Astyanax mexicanus: one gene and its partner. Each later gene encodes a partner of the first gene's protein in a complex. Links are inferred from orthologs where the notes say so. Each region holds a gene or a part of one and is shown on either strand. Other genes may lie near its edges.

Region 1 (4,148 bases):
AAAGAGCAGATATTATTTGGGTGGTTGGATATTCTCTGAACTGCAGTGACACTGACATAGAGGAGTCATGTAAAGTCAGAAACATAAGCAACACAGACTTAAATGACTAATCACAAAAAGAATATTTTTTTCTGAAAAGATGTTATCCTGCTTTTGTTAGTATCCGTGTCTCTACTTTCTATAGCATTTTACCATATTTTGGAGCATAGCTGTGAGGACCTTCATACTCCTGCCCAAACCCTATACCACTGTGTTTTTACTGGACCCTTGACTTGGTATCTCAAAATAACGATTTGGTATCTCAAATAATAACTTGATAATGCAGAATAATTAAGTATCTCAAAATAATAATAAATAATAATAAATAATAAATCAAGCTAAATCAAGACTTTATATGTCAAAATAACGACTAAGTATCTCAAAAACGAGTTAGTATTCCAAAATAATTACCTAGTATCTCAAAAACGAGTTACTATTGTAAAAGTAATTGCTTCCTCAAAGTAACTGTTTAATATCTCAAAATATCGTTAATATTACAAAATACGACTTGGTATTTCTCTAACGACTTGATATGTCAAAATAATGACGTAGTATCTCAAAAACGAGTTAGTAGTTCAAAAATGACTACTTAGTATCTCAAAATACCGACTTAATAGCTCAAAATAATTAGTATCTTTAAAAAGTTAGTATTTCAAATAATTACTATCTCAAACTAACTGTTAATATCTCACAATAAATATTTTAAAATAATGACTTATTATTTCAAAATAACTGCTTGGTATCTCTAAATGAAGACTTGGTATGTAAAATAATGACTAACCACTTAGGTATGTCAAAATAATGAAATTATATAATATACTTAATAATGAAAGATATATGTTAAATTTTAGGTGACGAGAATGGCCATACATTTTTCTTTTGCCATGCCTCCCTAGCAATATTATTTCTGTATTGTGCAAACTGTTATGTGTATATTATTTAATATGTAATGTGTGTAAATATGCTTGGTATCGATAAATAAAAAACAGTATAATTAAATAACCGCTGTGGGGAACCGGATTAGCCGCTAAGCTAACACTAAAGTGTGGTTTTGTTAAGCGGTTGCTAGGAGACCACAGACGGGACAGTCCTACCAAACAGGCTAAAGCAGCCTAGTTTACTAACCTACCTCAGTCAGTCATTTAGCCCCGTTTAGCTGCATTTCAGCTAAAATGTCCGATAACGAGGGAGAACAGGGTCCTAAAAGCACGTTTTCTATCTATATAGCTGAGGGAGAGCAGCTGTTCAACAAAAGAGAATACACTAAAGCCATCCAGAGCTACTCTACGGTAAGTCCTCTCCGCTTTCCTTCTGTGGAAACAAATAACTTTTCTGTGTCCCGTACTGTGTCTTTCATATTTAACGTTACTAAATAAAGAAAAGGAAATGGATGCAGACGTATAGTTTGAATTGTTTAATATAACTACAGTTTGGTTTAAAGTACAGTAACGTTGTGTGTATGTGTGTTTTAGGCTCTGACATTACAGCCTGAGGACAAGAACTGCTTGGTTGCCAGATCTAAGTGTTATGTGAAATTGGGGGATTCTGAAAATGCACTGAAAGATGCTGAGGCTTCTCTCAAAGAGGATAAGAAATTTTTCAAGGTGCTATTTTCAGAAAGAAAAGTACACTCACACTACCGGTCAAAAGTTTTACAATAAAAAAAAAAAAAAACATTTTTCTGATTATGTTTGTTATCTTAGCTCTTCAGGTCCTGTCAATAACCAGAAATGGTACAAAACAAAAAACTTAATGAGAACCAGTTTCATCATAACATTTTTGATGGTCTTTACAACTGCACTTGAGGATACTTTCAAAGTTTCATTAAATATTTCAGATGGACTGACCTTCATTTCTTAAAGTAATTCTCTTCTTTAATTAGTTGAGTAGTTCTTGCCATACTATGTATTCAAGCATTATTTAAATAGAGCTATTCAATGTATACCAACTCTACCTCTTCACAACTTCACAAATAATGCTCTCAAACACATTAAGAGGCAAGACATTCAAGTAATTAACTCTTGACAAGTTCAGCACAGCTGTTAACTGAAAGCCATTCCAGGTGACTCTACCTCATAAAGCTGACTGAGAAAATCCAGCCAAGATGTGCAAAACTGTGTCTACCTAAGCAAGAAGTGCTTACTTTGAAAAATATAAAATATAAAACATGACTGTTTACTAAATATGTTTATCTTGGTAGTTTGGATGCTTTAGTATTAATCTACAATGCAGAAAAACACATCACTCAATATAGTTAAAAACGACAGTATATCAAATTCAAGGTCAAATTGGTAAAATGATTTCCAGATAAATTGCATGTAAATGTTTCACTAGTTAAATTAATTTGCATAGGTTTTCCTAATCTGGTTTAATTCATTTAGAGTTCTTCTAAACAAAAAACTTTAATTATATAAAACAGTATATAAAAGAATATTGCAGAATATTGTTGATATGATGAAAATAAAACACCTACATGTGATTTAAGAGTCATTGACCATCTTGGTTTTAATGTTGTCCTGAGCACATGGTTTTCTCGTCTTTCCAGGGTTTGTATCAGAAGGCAGAAGCTCTGTACACTAAGGGTGAATTTGAGTTTGCACTCATCTTTTACCACCGTGGTCATAAGCTGCGTCCAGAGCTGCAGGAGTTCAGGCTGGGCATACAGAAAGCTCAAGAGGCCATCAATAACTCTGTGGGCAGTGAGTACTTATAGACGGTTTTCTACAGTAATTCTCAGTGATGATGCACAGATAACACTGTTTCCTGTTACTGAAAACGACACAATGTGTCCAAATGTATATGCAAATGCACACACACACACACACACACACACAGCTTGTCTCAGTCTCTGTAAAGAAGTACTGCCAAAAGAAAAAAACGATTTTCTGCAGCAAAGAAAAGTGAACCGATTGGCGCCACACTCAAAACAAAACATACAACCGTTTTCTAAAATGATGGTGCCCCTCCATCCAGTACTTCAGGATGAGATGGGGGGTTAGGGAGGAAGTGGGATCATCAAACATCCTTACTAACCTTACTACTGCTCTTGTGGCCGAATGCAATCAAATCCTGGCAATTAAAGCTGAATAAATTATTTTTAATACCATTAATTTAAGAAGAAACTATATATGAGCATGTATTCCAATACTTTTGTCCATATAGTAAATGTGATACCTGCTTATAAATCCTGATATTTATGCCAATCATTAATTCATATAAATCTTCTAAAACAGAATACTTTTCTAATTTTTCAGGTCCCTCATCTGTGAAGCTAGAGAATACATCTGACCTCTCCCTGCAGAAAGCTGATGAGGCAAGTTCAAAACTATTTATCCTCTTCAGGCACTTCCAGAAGCTGTATTTTGGTGAAACTCATTATGAATTTCATTGTAAGATAATTTGGTTTCAGCTGTGAACCCTATTAGTGTACGGTCCTCACAGAGAGATGGTTTATATGCTAAAATAAATGACTAATTCATTACAGAATGTTATGTGGTTCATTATTCCATTTTACTTGTGTTTATTTGTTTGTGTGTTTTGTATTTTGGCTGAAAGCTGAAAAAGGTTCCACCAAAGCCTGTGAAGAAGGTGCAGCTGAAACAGCAGGCCCAGAAGACGGTCATGAGTGAGAGAACAGCAAGGCAGCTACTGGGAGAGCTTTACACTGACAAAGAGCACCTGGAGAAACTGCTCAGAGATGAAGGTGTGTGTGTGTATGCATGTGTATCGAGTTATCTGATTATACGTACAATCGTACTCTACGTTCCTATATCGGAGTAACAATTTCTCAGTGCGTGTAAACTCTTAATGGGTGGATTCCAGGATTGATTCTTTACAAGAAGGATGTCATCAACAATTTTGGCATACAGTGTAAAATAAGCTTTGTTTGGGTGTGAAAATGCTCAGATATCATTAAATATGCCTATTTATAATCCTGTAAGTCTTTAAAGTATGAAAGATGTGTTATTTACATATGTTTTGTTTATGTGACTTTTTTATATTCTCTCTTTAGATCTAATAAAAGGAAAGACACGCAATGGCGAGCGACTGCAGGATGTGATCCTGAACTGCATCTCATATCTGGACACACGGACTGAATTCTGGCATCA
Region 2 (3,600 bases), on another chromosome or scaffold:
AAAAAGATAAAGAGAGATTGGTGTAGAAATGAATTATGACTGTTTTTGGTTTATGTGAAAGGAGCTTAGAGGAAATAATATACAAAACATTTTGGGTAAATGCTCTTTAATCTTTATGGGTAGATTAGACTAAGGCTGTCACTATTATCCGAGGATCACGTGTTTGAGTCCAGGATCACGCTGCTCATCATCAGAGGCTGGAATATGATCTTGGTCAGAACAGAGTGTCTGTTAGTTGCTGTATCAAAGCTGACTAATACTGTACACATCCTGACCAAGCTCTAGTTGTTTTTTATTGATATGTTTAATACAAATCAAAGGTGTGTGTGTGTGTTCTGACCTTTGCGGACATGTTCCGGAAAGCAGCTTTTTCTGAGCGGCTCTGAAACACCTCTTTAATTTCCTGCTCATCTCCCTGGATAAAGACAGAGACACATACAGGTAACTTGTTACGGAACAGAGTGTACAGGTGTAATATTTCATACATTGTGTGAGTGGATGTTTCTTACTGTTTGTGTGTTCAGTGTACAAAGGTTCAGTCTCCATTATCAGTGTGTAGTGTGAGTGTCCCTATATGACACACTTTTACAAAGAGGGTTATTTAAGTGTTTCTCTGTTAAGAAAATGGGTCTTTATTAAATTCCTGACACCTGAAAGACCATTTAAATGCTTAAATGTTTCTTTGCCTGGTTAAAATGGTCTTTAATATGATGTAGAATCTGTTCTAGATGGTTCTGCAAAGACAAAAAGTGGATCTACAGCACCAAACAGGGTCCCACTGTAAACACAATTATTTTAAACCCGTTTACATAGAATTAAGGTGTGAGTTGTGTATTACTAAAAGTGTGTATAATGTGTGTGTGTGTGTGTATGGTATATTGTTCCCCAATCACATTCTGCTCCCTACTCACTCCACCTATCATCTAAGTAACACTCAGCAATATTAAATACATAATACAGGATTTATAAATAATTGTCCCAAAACTGGTTGACACGTCACTGTTTTGAAAGTGCAAGCAGCTGATCTGAGGTCAGAATTTTTTGTGCCCAAACGTGTCTAAATGAAAACCTTTGGTAAAAAATGCACTACTAATAAAAGCCGCACTACTGTATACAAGCTATTTCCCTCAGCTGCTTCTGCCTGATAGCAAACAAGGGCGTCCAATACCTCGCCCTGAACTGGAAGCTCCCTTCACAGCACAGAGTGTGTCTTCATATGGAATATCTGTCAGTAGTGGAGTGTGTGTGTGTGTGTGTGTGTGTGTTACTCTGAGCGCGTGTGCCAGTCTCATGTTGAGTCTCCTGTTCTCCTCGCGCAGCTGCAGGATGGTCTCCTTGTTCTTCTTTATGGCGTTTTCGGAACTTTCAAAAAACGCGCTTCTTTCGCCCTCTGGCGGTCGAGAACAGAACAACAGCTCAATCACTATAAAACTCATTAGCGATGCTCCGCATTACATTACATTACATTTGGCAGACGCTTTGTCCAGAGCGACGTACAATAATTATGCACCTAGAGTAATAGAAGTTCAACAGAAAAAACATTTTATACAGGGCCTAAAAGACATTAAAGGGAATAGTGGGACAGAGGAGGAAGGAGGGGAAGAATGAAATTGAATTAGTAAAAGTAGTTCGTTTGTTAGAGGTATTACGAGAGTAAGGGCTCTTTGAAGAGTTCTCTCTCAGATAGCCAGATATCTGATCTGGTAGTGGAAGGTAGTTTACATTATTGGAGAACTCTGTATGAAAACACTCTGGATTATCACATCCCCTGTCATTCAGTCACCAGCAGCTGTTCCATGTGCCGCTTGCTAAACTCACCCAGGAGCTGTATTTTCCTCTGCAGTTCGCTGATCTGGTCATGGATTGGAGCTCTGATAGAGTTTGAGCTGAACAGCGCCGACATTTTTAGCAGTTTTATTAAGTTCTGCTGTTATGTTGAAGTCTAGTTCCTCCCTCTGCTCTCTCTGTTTACCTCTCCTACGATACACTGGTTGCTTAGCAACTCCCACTTCCGCTGAGAGGCGGAGCACTCTGTAAAGACAGTCACATTGTCCTGACAAAGCCAATAAGCTAATGAGTGTCTTGCTTCAGGAATCGCACACGATTCATTAAGGACAAACATTTATTAGACATTTATTGAAGGACAAATATGTATCATACAACATAATACTAAACACCCATACTTTGCTGTGCTGACTTTGTGTTTGCAGTAATCTTAGTTCATCAATACACACCACTTTCCTTCCAGCAAATATACGTTCTGACATGTGGTTTCCAACCATTTACATGAGAAACTATACAAACCAAACATACTATAAATATCTTATAAATACACATGTGAATGATCAATCCTCTACGGATCATCAGTAATACATAGATGATCAATACATTATCAAGGCACAGAAATGAAGTATCAATACAATTAGCAAGGCACATAGGCTGCTACAAGTTAAATTCAGATTGGAGTTCATTCATTATTGCACCATCATTATTTTAACACCTGTCAAAAGGTACACAACCTGTAAACAAACCAGTAAATAAATGCCACAATTCAAATATACAGTCGAATCAGACCAATCAGACCTTAGAAATATGCAGATAAACATCAGCAACAGAAACACTAAGTAACATTCAGTAACAATAATTCTCAGTAGTATTCAGTAACAGTAACACTCAGTAACGTTCAGTAAAAATAACTTAGCTACATTTAGTAACAGTAAAATTCATTATACCACAGTTAGTTTCTACCCTGTGACCCAGTGTGATTGGCTGAGAGGTGTTCTATGAGTTCCATTATCAGCTGGTAATGCACTGTAACCAAAGCTCTCCATTTATTACTCTGCCACATACAGGTAACCTAGCAACAACGCAGGGCTTACCAGCTAAACAGCACAGCTACAAACAGAGCAGCAATGGAACTATTTTAACTCGTGGAGTTTTTATAACCAAACATATCATATTTTTCTCTTCCTCTTTAATTCAAAATCTTTCAATATACAGCGTTAATGAAACTATGGTATAATCGCAATAATACACTCAAGGTTCATGCTATAACTTGTAATATTGGCAAAGCAGTGCCAATATAACAAGTGATAGCGTTCCCTCTCTTGTATTATTTCTTAAGTAATATTCAGTAACAATAACACTAACTGTAAAACTCAGTAACAATCTCTGCTACCCTGTTTACTATTTAAAGCAGACTGGTCATAATTCATAGTAAATTGACTGGATGAAATATGTTAATCCAGTTTTGCACTAAAACCTTGTTTCTCAATGAAATTCTAAGTCCCTCTTCCCTTTTCTCTTCCTCTCTGTCTCTCACTCGGTGGTCCAGGCAGTTTTGACCTTGTCGTTGGGTTTCTTCAGGGTGCTGAGGAGGTTCGGGGACATGTGGTACGGCCTCTCTGCAGATCCATCATTCCGCTCTAGATCCTCCACTGCGGGAATAAAGCTCAGTCAGACATTTCAAACCACAACATCACAGCATGTCTTTTATTTAGATAGATGCTGGTAGATGCTAACTACATTTTATTCATAGAACAACTGAGCAATAACTCTGAATTAACTAAACTCAAATACATAATTTAGGATGCTCATTAG

The links.
Region 2: odad4 (region 1) and odad3 share a complex: the UniProt entries of both Homo sapiens proteins name them as parts of the outer dynein arm-docking complex. The link is inferred for Astyanax mexicanus from reciprocal best matches to the Homo sapiens genes ODAD4 and ODAD3.

The regions. Positions count from the first base shown.
Region 1 is NC_064426.1:25,917,618-25,921,765, reverse strand, and holds the start of odad4 (outer dynein arm-docking complex subunit 4), read left to right. Parts: upstream 1-1,095; 5' UTR 1,096-1,211; coding exon 1,212-1,328; intron 1,329-1,511; coding exon 1,512-1,643; intron 1,644-2,584; coding exon 2,585-2,738; intron 2,739-3,293; coding exon 3,294-3,352; intron 3,353-3,594; coding exon 3,595-3,742; intron 3,743-4,051; coding exon 4,052-4,148. UniProt on the Homo sapiens protein: Component of the outer dynein arm-docking complex (ODA-DC) that mediates outer dynein arms (ODA) binding onto the doublet microtubule. Plays an essential role for the assembly of ODA-DC and for the docking of ODA in ciliary axoneme.
Region 2 is NC_064412.1:26,045,299-26,048,898, reverse strand, and holds the start of odad3 (coiled-coil domain-containing protein 151), read right to left. Parts: upstream 2,843-3,600; 5' UTR 2,733-2,842; exon of another isoform or gene 2,109-2,732; intron 2,032-2,108; 5' UTR 1,904-2,031; coding exon 1,819-1,903; intron 1,391-1,818; coding exon 1,269-1,390; intron 416-1,268; coding exon 341-415; intron 1-340. UniProt on the Homo sapiens protein: Component of the outer dynein arm-docking complex (ODA-DC) that mediates outer dynein arms (ODA) binding onto the doublet microtubule. Involved in mediating assembly of both ODAs and their axonemal docking complex onto ciliary microtubules.